Ovis aries: one gene and its partner. The protein of the gene in region 2 interacts with the protein of the main gene of each other region in a biochemical or structural test. Links are inferred from orthologs where the notes say so. Each region holds a gene or a part of one and is shown on either strand. Other genes may lie near its edges.

Region 1 (5,552 bases), on a different chromosome or scaffold from region 2:
GTTCAAACTAGAAACTTTGGAGTCATCCAGCCCTTTAGCACACAATTAGTCAATACTTTTAAAGTGTCCAATAAATTGTAGGGAGTGCATGCTGCTGCTGCTGCTGCTAAGTCGCTGCAGTCGTGTCTGACTCTGTGCGACCCCATACGGCAGCCCACTAGGCTCCCCTGTCCCTGGGATTCTCCAGGCAAGAACACTGGAGTGGGTTGCCATGGCCTTCTCCAATGCGTGAAAGTGAAGTCGCTCAGTCGTGTCCGACTCTTCACGACCCCATGGACTGCAGCCCGCCAGGCTCCTCCACCCATGGGATTTTTCCAGGCAAGAGTACTGGAGTGGGGTGCCATTAAATGACTCCTTTTTCTTCACATCCACCCATAACGAGCCACTCATCTAAACTTGATTATTGTGTTTAGTGTTTGCCTCTCATCTCCCCCTCACCTTTGGCCCCACAGTATTCCTGCTTGTGTACTTCCTCACATGGATCTTTGCAATAGTTTTATGACTTGACTAACTGCCATCATTATTTCTTTCCAGTCTATAACTCGTGCTTCCACCATAGTTATTCTCAAACACATATTTTCTGCTCTTCAGCTTTTTAAGGATCTCAACTTTCCAGTACTCCCTGGATAAATCTAAAAGTTACTTCTTAGCAAATAACCCTCTGTGTGTGTAAATTCTCCTCTAACTAGCTGCCTGTCCCACCATTCTCAAAAACATGCCCTTATATTTCTGCCACAGTTTTCTGTTCCCTGATACACCTTGCTTTTCCAAACGTTAGAGCCATTCTTCACACTTCTTTCCTTCTAGAATATTATTTCCTAAATCTCCAGCCCTTCAAAACTAGCTCAGTGCCACTGTCTGCAGAATTTTCTTTCCCAGGCTCCCAGCAGAGCTGATAACTTTGGTGGTATTCCCAGCATGTTCGTATATACCTCTGCTCTGGCATTTTTTGTTTTCACTCTGGCAGTTTTCCCACTGTGCGTGCATACATGCCTGCTAATTCACTTCAGGCGTGTCCAGCTCTTTGGAACCCTGTGGACTAGAGCCTGCCAGGCTCCTCTGTCCATGGGCTTCTCCAGGCAAGAATCCTGGAATGGATTACCATGCCCTCCTCCAGGGTTTTCACATTGTACAATACTATGATTTTTCTTATACTTACTTGTGACCTTTTTAAGGAAAAAGAACCATTTCTTGGCATCTTTGGCTCCCTTTAGAGTGTCTAATAAATATGTTATTAATAAATAATATATCTGTAAGCTAGTAGCTTGGAACCTGAAAGAGGCTTTCACTTATAAGTATTTTAAATCATGTTATGTTTCTAAGAGAATCCATTAAAATCTTTTAAATACATTTTACACCTGAAGATTACTTAAAAAATAGAAGTCACATTCCACATTTATAATTGTTTTTCTGCAGGAGCCAGCAGTGATGGCTCCTGTATATTTGTGACTAGTTGGACCAAAGATTCTGGATTAAGAAAAAGAAACTGGAGGACAGGTTAAGCGAAGTAATGGAAAACTGGAAGGGTGGGGGCGGAGGGGGAGCTAGAACTTACAGAGGAAGAGTTAAGTTAGGAGTGATGTCTTATGGGGAGAAAAGACCGTAACAGGAATCCTGAGTGAAGAAGGTGAAAATGAGAAACTAAGAAAGCTGGAAATGGAAATAAGGGTGGGTCAGGGATACAGTAACTTTGGTTATGAAGTGATATATTTCAATTGGTCTGTTATCCAATTTAAAGTAAGTTAGCACCCATTGTGGCTTTCATAATTTTTTCTCCATCATACAACTGCTGTTTTTTCAAAGTCTATGTCATTATTAAAATATTTTCTTAATATTTAGACTTCAGATATTGGTAATAGTGAAAATTCTCTGTACAGATGTTAAAATATTTTTTGTAACTTAATGTATTTTGTGGGTATATATTGATGGTTAAAATTCATGCCTCAGCCTTGAGTATTGAGTCAAAATTTGCCAGTCTGATAGCAAAAAGTATACCTTTAGAGATTTGCATTTATTTGAAGATTGGGGTGATTGGACATGTCTTCATACGCTAATTGGCCTTTCATGTTTCATTTGTGAATTGCCTCTTGATAGGCATTCAGATTTTTCTAAGGGGCTATGTGTATTTTCTCATGTGTAAGAGTTGTCTGTATTGTGTGAATGTGTGAAAGTTGCTCAGTTGTGTCCGATTCTTTGCAACCCCTGGACTGACTATATATATAGTCCATGGAATTCTCCAGGCCAGAATATTGGAGTGGGTAGCCGTTCCCTTCTCCAGGAGATTTTCCCAACCCAGGGATCAAACCCAGGTCTCCCACATTGCAGGCGGATTCTTTTCCAGTTGAGCCACAAGGGAAGCCCTTGTCTATATTAAGAACCTCAACTAATTCTTATATGGTACATTCATGTGTTGAGAGAGCAAGTAAGAGCATGAGCAAGTACAGAGACATTTTCCCTACTTCTCATGTCTTTAGTTTCACTTAAAAGTTTCTATGCCCATACCTGCCCCCCACCCGCAAGTTAATCATATATCTCTTCGTCTTTTCCTTTAGGGTTTCTAGAAACTTTCACATTATGCTTTAAAAAGGCTTTTCTTTTCCAACTACCGCATTATGAACCAACCTACCTTACATTCCTTCTGACGCTTTCAGACGCAACTGCCTTTCATATATTTAGCTTGTCATTGTCTCATAGTGTTTTCAGTAGATACTTAGGCTTCCAGTCCCAGTCATGTTCCTATACTGCGCTTTATTGTCACATCTTCTGAATATACCGGTTTTAAGATAGTGATCTAAAGACATTCCAGCTCTGAGATCTGAGACTGTTTCTGTTTTATGCATAAGATAAGTGAGGAAATGATAGGAGGTAAAGTGGGAAAGATAGACTGGAATCAGATTTGGCAAGCATTGAGGGCGTGTCCATCACTAGGGAAAAGATACAGCACTGCATTGTCCAGTGGAGTAGCCACTAGCCACATACAGCTGTTGAGCACTTGAGATGTGCTTGGTCCAAACTGAGGTGTACTGTGAGTTTAAAATACGCATCAGATTTCTACAATTTAGTACAAAAGAAGAGTATAAAAATCTCACTAACATTGTTCATACTGATGACATGTTGAAATATATATTACTAGAATTAATTTGATCTGTTATTTTTTAAATGTGTTTACTGGAAAATCTAAAATTATAGATAGGAAAAAATAAAATTATGGCTCAGATTCTGTTTCTGTTACACAGAGCTGGTATAGGTAGAAGGAAAAATGCCAGAATTTGCTAGTGCCTGCTGTGTACCAGAGATAGTCTAGAAGTTGTGATAAATAAACTTACTTCTCATGGAAAACCTTATGAAGTAGGTGATATTGTTTTCTTTTTTCAAGGAACTGAGGTTGCAGCGAAGTTAAACAACATACCTAAAATCACTCCACTAGAAAGTAGGAAGCCAGGATTCAGACTTTGGCTCCTGACTTCAGAGCCCATGGTTTTCCCAGTACCCTGTGGCATGTTGTCATTGAGCCATAAAGGTGATTGAGCTGGAGAATGACATGATTAGAATGATATGTTAGCAGAACTGTAATAAAAATAAATGAGGAGAGACTTTATTTTTAGCTGCCTAGGGTTTTTTGGTTTATTTGTTGTTGTTTCTTTTTTGCAGGAGAGAAATGCCTGGTTTAAAGGCAGCTGCTAAAGTATACCTCTTCTGAAGCATCCTTTATGATAACTGCTTCTCACACTTTGCCTTATCACCTTGGTAGGCTTGATAATGGGCTGCATTAAAAGTAAAGAGAACAAAAGTCCATCCATTAAATATAGACCAGAAAGCACACCAGAGCCCGTCGGTACAGGAGTCGGCCACCACGGAGCAGAGCACGCTGTGGTGGCACCAACATCCTCCGCAAAGAGCACATCTGCCAGCTTCAGCAGCCTCTCCCTGACTCCATTCGGAGGGCCCTCGGTGGTGACACCCTTTGGGGGAGCATCTTCCTCATTTTCAGTGGCACCAGGTTCATATCCTGCTGGTTTAACAGGTGAGCTTTAGATGGACAGTCTGTTTGTTTGAGAATGTGACCTTGGGCAATAGAGACATCAAGTTGGTGTTCTGTAAGAGAAGTAAGTTAAGAGGCGGTACGGGGGGTAGGGGTGGGGTGCTTAAGTTCATGTGAAAATTAAAAATCTCCAACATACAAAGTAAACTCTACGTGGATATTATTCTCAGAAATTTGACAGTAATCTGATGGTGATTGTGTACTGGTTTATACCATTAATTGGGCTTCCCTGGTGGCTCAGATGGTAATGAATCTACCTGCAATGTGGGAGACCCAGGTTTGATCCCTGAGTCAGGAAGATCCCTTGGAGAAGGTCATGGCAACCCACTCCAGTATTCTTGCCTGGAGAATACCATGGACAGAGGAGCCTGGCAGGCTACAGTCCATGAGATCGCAGATTCGGATATGACTGAGTGACTGGCACACACTGTTACCATTAATCACTTCACTAATTCATTTTTCAAATAATTACTGGGTGCTGACTGTGTGGCAGGCATTGGGAATATAAAGATTAAAAATGTATCCCCCTCCCTCTAGAATGCTACCAACTTCTGAGGATTATAAAGTGCTGGCCATTATTAAAGTATTATAGTAGTTATTTAATGTGTTAGGTAAAGGCAGTTTCGTGATCATAGTACAGTTCTGTTAGGTACTGCTGATTGAAAAAAAAAAATCCTGAGGCTCACAGCTTAAGTGATTTTTTTTTTTCCAGTCACAGATGATAAGCAGGAGGACACATATTTAATGCCCTTTTCTAAAACTTTGTTTATTACACTGCAGTGTCTTCAGAGAACAGTCAGAAGTGATGGCCAACAGCCTTTCATGGAGCCAGAAATGCTCTAAAAAAAAGATAGTCAGAAACTTTAAAAAGAGAAGTAGTCCTTCTGTGAAGGGTCCCCTACCAGGTTGCTTTTCCCTTGAGTAACAAACAAAAGTGCAACTGACTTGTAAAGGTAGGGGAGGTTCTAGGATTCCTTGAACCAGTAGTTTTTTCATGTCATCAAGGACTTGAGTTTCTTTGGTCTCTCCCTTTTGCGGCCCTTGGAGTATGCTCTTTATCCTTAGACTTGGGGAAACAGCTGCCAGCATCAAACTGAGCAACTTTTGGGGAGAAAAGAAGAATCTCTTCTACAAGCTTGGTCTATAAATGTGTCCCTTACCTCTGCTCACCTCCAAGACAAAAATAGTGACCAGAGAATATCAGACACTCATCTATAGACTGTTCACTTGAGGAGTTGTGGACATCAGAGAGCCAGTTAGAGTCCCAACTTCGGCCCTTTGACTCTAAATACTTAACAGTATAATAACATAGTAATAGATGGTTATGATGGTTATTTCTCCATCACCAGAATAAGTTTATTTTCAGTATTACATGTTCTGGAGCGATAGTAATCCAAAATGATTAAATGTTACCTAAAGCAGTGTGTTTATGTGAAATAGTCCATTCATGGATATTCATTTACTAATGAGTATCTGTGTGTTGAGTCCAGTATAGAGAGTTGTAAGCAAG
Region 2 (5,091 bases):
GAACACGATGACATTCTGAAGCTGGTCGGCTTGTTCTGGACAATCTCTAGAGCAAGTTCATCGGCTACAAAAGGAGATTTTTGTTAAGACTGTGCTTGGCAATAATTTTTTTTTTAAAGCACTGTTTCCTTCAAACTTGTTCTGGCTCATCAGTTATTCCTATACACAGCAGACTCAAGCCAGAATTGTATTCAGAAACTACACCTTGTGGGTTCCCCCCCCTCAATATGTGAATGTGTACAATTTATAGATGAGTATATACAAAATGTGGGCTGGGAGGCCATCTCTCCAATTCAGCTACTATTAGTGAATTTGACTTAGAAACCAGGTCAGAAGCACAAAGGCTCATGCCCAGCAGTCTTTATTCAGGAGCAGAGAGCATTTTTCCATGGCCTATGTCTTACTCCCAGCATGAAATACTAGATTTCTTGAGCCCAGATATTCATAGGCTTCTGGCCTTTGAATAACATTCTATTTCCCACATCAAAGGATAAGGTTTCAGCTTCTAGCCTTGCTGCATCATCATACCATCATGGGTGATTATGAGGAATGAAGGTGACTACTGCTATGTACTCAAAACTATCAACTACATTTTTCGGATAGAAGTTGGAGAAACCTTGGGAAGGACTCAGTGTGTCCAGTCCATCCCACCCACCCTTTCTCCAAGTCTGAAGTTTCCTCGTTAGCAGGGGCTAGTGTGCTATTAGGAACATAGGCAGCTCGATGGTAGCTGATGACAAAAATCATCGGCCACTAAAGGGTGCTCATAAAGACAGGGTGTCCACTACCCTTGAGTAGGATTCGAGTCGAAGGAAAACAAAGGAACCATTGTAAAAACCAAAAGAGAGGGGGGCCGGGGTTGTTCAGGAGACCCCTGGATGCAGACTCTGCTTCAGACATCTTCGTGGACAAGCAGAGGCTGCGTGGAGGAGGCGCTGCTGCCCACAGAGTTGATGCGCACAGAATGGTCCACCGCGGGGTTCTCCCGGTGGGGGCTGCAGTTTGCTAAGTTGGAATAAATCTGAGGAAAATAAATCCACAGTCAATACGCCAGTCCCCCACAAGGAACAAAGGGGCACATGTGCAGCTTAGGAACTGCAAATAACTTAGGAAGATTCTTACAGCCAGGAGGTTGACAAGACCTTACAGCCAAGAACTGAACCACACTGACCAAGGATAAGCTTTGTTTTATCCCTCATTTTCCCATGGTCTGATTACATAAGAAGTGATAGTCCAAAATGTGCTTTTCTGCTGGGATGCATCTAGGAATGAGAACGACCTAACTTTTTTTAAAAGGTGCATAAATTTCTATAGCCAATTCCCATCTAATGGCTGATGTCACTTACTAAGAAATTGGTGGTTCTTCCATTGAGAACCAGGCACTTGGGTGTGAAACGCTGTCTAATTTGAAATGTGCTTTGACACCCAGAAGAGCGAACTTCAACCTGAAAGTATCAATGGTATAATCTTAAGAAAAGATAGCTCCACGCACAATCCAGAAGAAAAAAGCAGGTTAAAAAAAAATCTGAGTCGAAGTAAGGATCACTCATTCTTCCTTAAAAGCAAAAGAAATCATGAATTTGAGTTTTGAACTCCCCGCTTCTCAAATCACTGGGAGGGATCCCTCAACTTCAAGCAACTCTTCATTCTCTACGGTTTGCGGCCATGAAAGCTATCTGCTATATTGTGGTTATACTTACTTGAGCAGAAGGTTTATTTTACTGCAGGGAACAAGCTGTTTTTTCTACGTGCCCTACCGCAACCCTCCAAAGGCTGAATGGCCTGACATGTGAGACAGAAAAGATGCAAACTCCCATGACCAACACTTGGGGTGAAGAAGGAAAAGTGGCAAATCGTTATGGAAACTTCTATGCCCACACTTCTGAGCGTCAAGCCCTCTACTCTTTCCCCTCTTCATCTCATATCCCTTGGCTCAGAGTAGGGGGCTAGGCAAAAAGAACTTGTTTCCATTGCGTCACTTTCCCACTCAATTTATAGCCTAAGTGAAGGAGAGAAAGGGTGGGTAGCTTAGTCCTCACCCCCAGAACCTGAGGAGGAGGACATGCTTTGGAACCGAGAAAATGGAGGTCCTATGCCTGGCTAGAGTATACTCACATGATTGGTGCTCTCTGAGATCTGCTTCTCAATCAGCTGCACAATCTGCTTAAATGTTGGCCTTTTCAAGGGATCTGCATCCCAGCAGGTCTTCATGATGTCATACCTGCAAGACCAGGGCCAATTATCACTCTGCAATGCCCTTAACTGATCAGCAGATATATGCCATTCAACAATTTCAAACTTAATTCCAGGGTTACACAACTGGACATACTGAATGACATGGGTATAAAATAAAACTGTGTGTACTGAGACTCCGCCAAAACTTTATTTGGTAGTGAGTTTTATGAAACTCAGCGACAGAAATAACATTTGCCCAGGATGTCATTACAAGGAACCAAATGACATTTCAAGCTATGCTTAGTGAAAACCCTCAACATACGGGTTTCTGTCTTTAAAAAAGGAAAACAAAAGAGGAAACGTTATCTGAAGGAAGGACATCTGGGCCCTTACATTTCCGCAGGTGCATGCTCGGGGCTGAGCATTCGGAAACCTTCCTTGATCATCTTGTAGAACTTAGAATCGACTGGCATTCCAGGGTAGGGGCTGCTTCCTGAGGCACAAACAGTTTGCAAATCAGCATGACAGTAAGCAAGGAGAGCACTGGTAGCTCTGAGTGTGATTAAGGTGCCTTTGGCAAGGCTCACTTTACCTAAAGAGAACAGCTCCCACAGAAAAATCCCATAGGACCAGACATCACTTTCAAATGTGTACACACAGTTGAAAATACTCTCCGGTGCCATCCACTTCACAGGGAGTCGAGCCTGCAATGGAAGCATGGAAGATCCAACAATGTTAATCACATTGTGATTAACAAATCAAAAAAAATCAAAAACTGAATAGAAAATATTCCTATAGAGAGGTGGGGTGAGAACTTGATGGGCACCTCACAAAGACCTTCTACCCATATGACCTCAGAGGACCCTGATTACGTCTGAGAATTATGTTATGTGTGATTTTTTTAGTTTGGGGTGGTTTTACTTTTGTGGGGTGGAGTGGGGTATACATGCCAAGCAGTGGGCAGGACCTCAGTGCCCTGACCAGGGGCTGAACCCAGGCCTTGTCAGTGAAAGCCCAGAATCCTAACCAGGGGACCAGCAGGGAACTCTTGTGAATTATGATTTTTTACTTTTTTTCTGACTACCTCTGAAATATGTGGATCACGAGTACAGCTGACCCCTGAACAATGAGGGTCTGAACTGCATGGGTCCATTTATACAAGAATATTTTTCAATAATAAATGCTACATGATCCATGCTTGGTCGAATCCAAGGACGTGGAGGAACCATGGATATGGAGTTCTGGCTTTCATTTATACTGAGATTCACCGCTGCCTTGTGCAATGGTCAACTGTAATATTGTCTTCTGGAGTGGGTTGCCACTTCCTTCTCCAGGGGATGCTCCCAACCCAGGATCAAACCTTGGTCTCCTGTACTGCAGGCAGATTCTTTACTGTCTGAGCCACTAGGGAAGCCCCAGTACTATCTTCATTTTCAACATGGGGGTCACTGAGTCTGTACAGCCTGGTGGTTAGGAACATAGTTGTCAGAGACAGATACTTGGGTTCTAACCTGGGCTCCACCACTGGCCTTGTGTAACACAGAGGTTAGTTACCAAAGAAGGGTAGTTACTCTTATCCTTTAATAGAAATGTGGCTTCCCAGGGTAAGGACTACATTGCCCAGCTCCTTCATAGCTGTGTGCAGCCATGTGGCTTGGTTTTGGCCACTAAGTATTGTATGACAGCTTTTGGAAAACTTCCTTAATATGAAGTTGGCATGTGTCCTGTGGCCTTTTCCTTCTTGTCTCCTCCTCCACTGTCTTGTCTTCTGGATATGTTGGCTGGCTTTCTTGAGGCCGTCTTGGACCATGAAGCTAAGGCCCACACCAGGGATGGTATAAAATGGAAAGGTTGAGGAATTTGTTCCCTGGTACAGAACCTCCATACCAGGCCTGGCCTGCAACTCCTATACTTATTTTACTTTCCTTTTGGGTGTTCTGTCAAATACAGCCACAGTTATCCCTTACTAACACACTGGGAACATCACATACATCTGTAATAGAAGCCTCAGGATATTCTTCTGTAAAGCAAAAATCAAACCTCAAATTCCATGAGTTGTCTTGTGGATTAAATGAGATAATGTGGGTACCAGTGCTTAGTTCGGTATGGCTGATTCACTAGGATCTGGAAAATTGCCCTGTATAACCAACCACTTGATAAAGACAGCAGTGGCTTATGCTGACTATGACTATTCCAAGGTGGTGAGTGGCAGATTCAGAGTTTTAAATTCAACAGTTGAACTTCACATCCTGAACTCCTTCCGCTAACATCGAGCCAAACTTTCTGTGACTATTCCTCTTAGAGACATTTCTGGATTCTTGGATCTTAATTTACCACAGAAAGCTAAATCAACCCTTCCCATAATCCATTTAGGACCCAAAACTGGGAAGACAATTTTTTTCTGGTCTTAAAGTTATTTTAGTCAGTAGGAAAAAAATAAGAATGCTTTCTAGTATCCCCTCCCAGATTTTATGCTAAAGTTCTTATAGGGGCTCTTAACTTGGGATCTATTAATAAAAGAAATCAGAGGTGCTGGGGTCATCTTTACCAAATACAACACACTCACTAAATGATAGAACCAGGTTCGAACTCCGCAAGACTGGGCCCGGAACCCATTAGCCTTTTGTCAATATTCAAAGGCCTGGATAGAGAACCACCTTTCATTCTTCCCTCTAGTAGTGCACCAGGATGGTGGGGACTTGGTGTTATTAACACTCCTAGCCTTAGCGAGTTATTATTATAGAAACACATACTGTCATCAGAAAGTAAACCCAGCAACATTTCTACAAAAACCAAGTCTAGTACAGCCCACCCACAGAGACGCCTTAGTGATGGAGAAGGAAATATTACATTATGTGTAGGCACACAAATAGCTACCTCTAGGAATAGCTCTGGACTGGAGATATGAGCCTGGGA

What was found.
Region 1: the proteins of KIT (region 2) and YES1 form a complex in vitro, tested with the Homo sapiens proteins (2 studies listed by BioGRID and IntAct, with this or other methods). The link is inferred for Ovis aries from reciprocal best matches to the Homo sapiens genes KIT and YES1.

Annotation. Positions count from the first base shown.
Region 1 is NC_056076.1:36,065,274-36,070,825, reverse strand, and holds part of YES1 (tyrosine-protein kinase Yes), read left to right. Parts: intron 1-3,651; 5' UTR 3,652-3,759; coding exon 3,760-4,024; intron 4,025-5,552. UniProt on the Homo sapiens protein: Non-receptor protein tyrosine kinase that is involved in the regulation of cell growth and survival, apoptosis, cell-cell adhesion, cytoskeleton remodeling, and differentiation.
Region 2 is NC_056059.1:70,941,481-70,946,571, reverse strand, and holds part of KIT (mast/stem cell growth factor receptor Kit), read right to left. Parts: intron 2,880-5,091; coding exon 2,768-2,879; intron 2,669-2,767; coding exon 2,569-2,668; intron 2,222-2,568; coding exon 2,116-2,221; intron 1,022-2,115; coding exon 893-1,021; 3' UTR 1-892. UniProt on the Homo sapiens protein: Tyrosine-protein kinase that acts as a cell-surface receptor for the cytokine KITLG/SCF and plays an essential role in the regulation of cell survival and proliferation, hematopoiesis, stem cell maintenance, gametogenesis, mast cell development, migration and function, and in melanogenesis.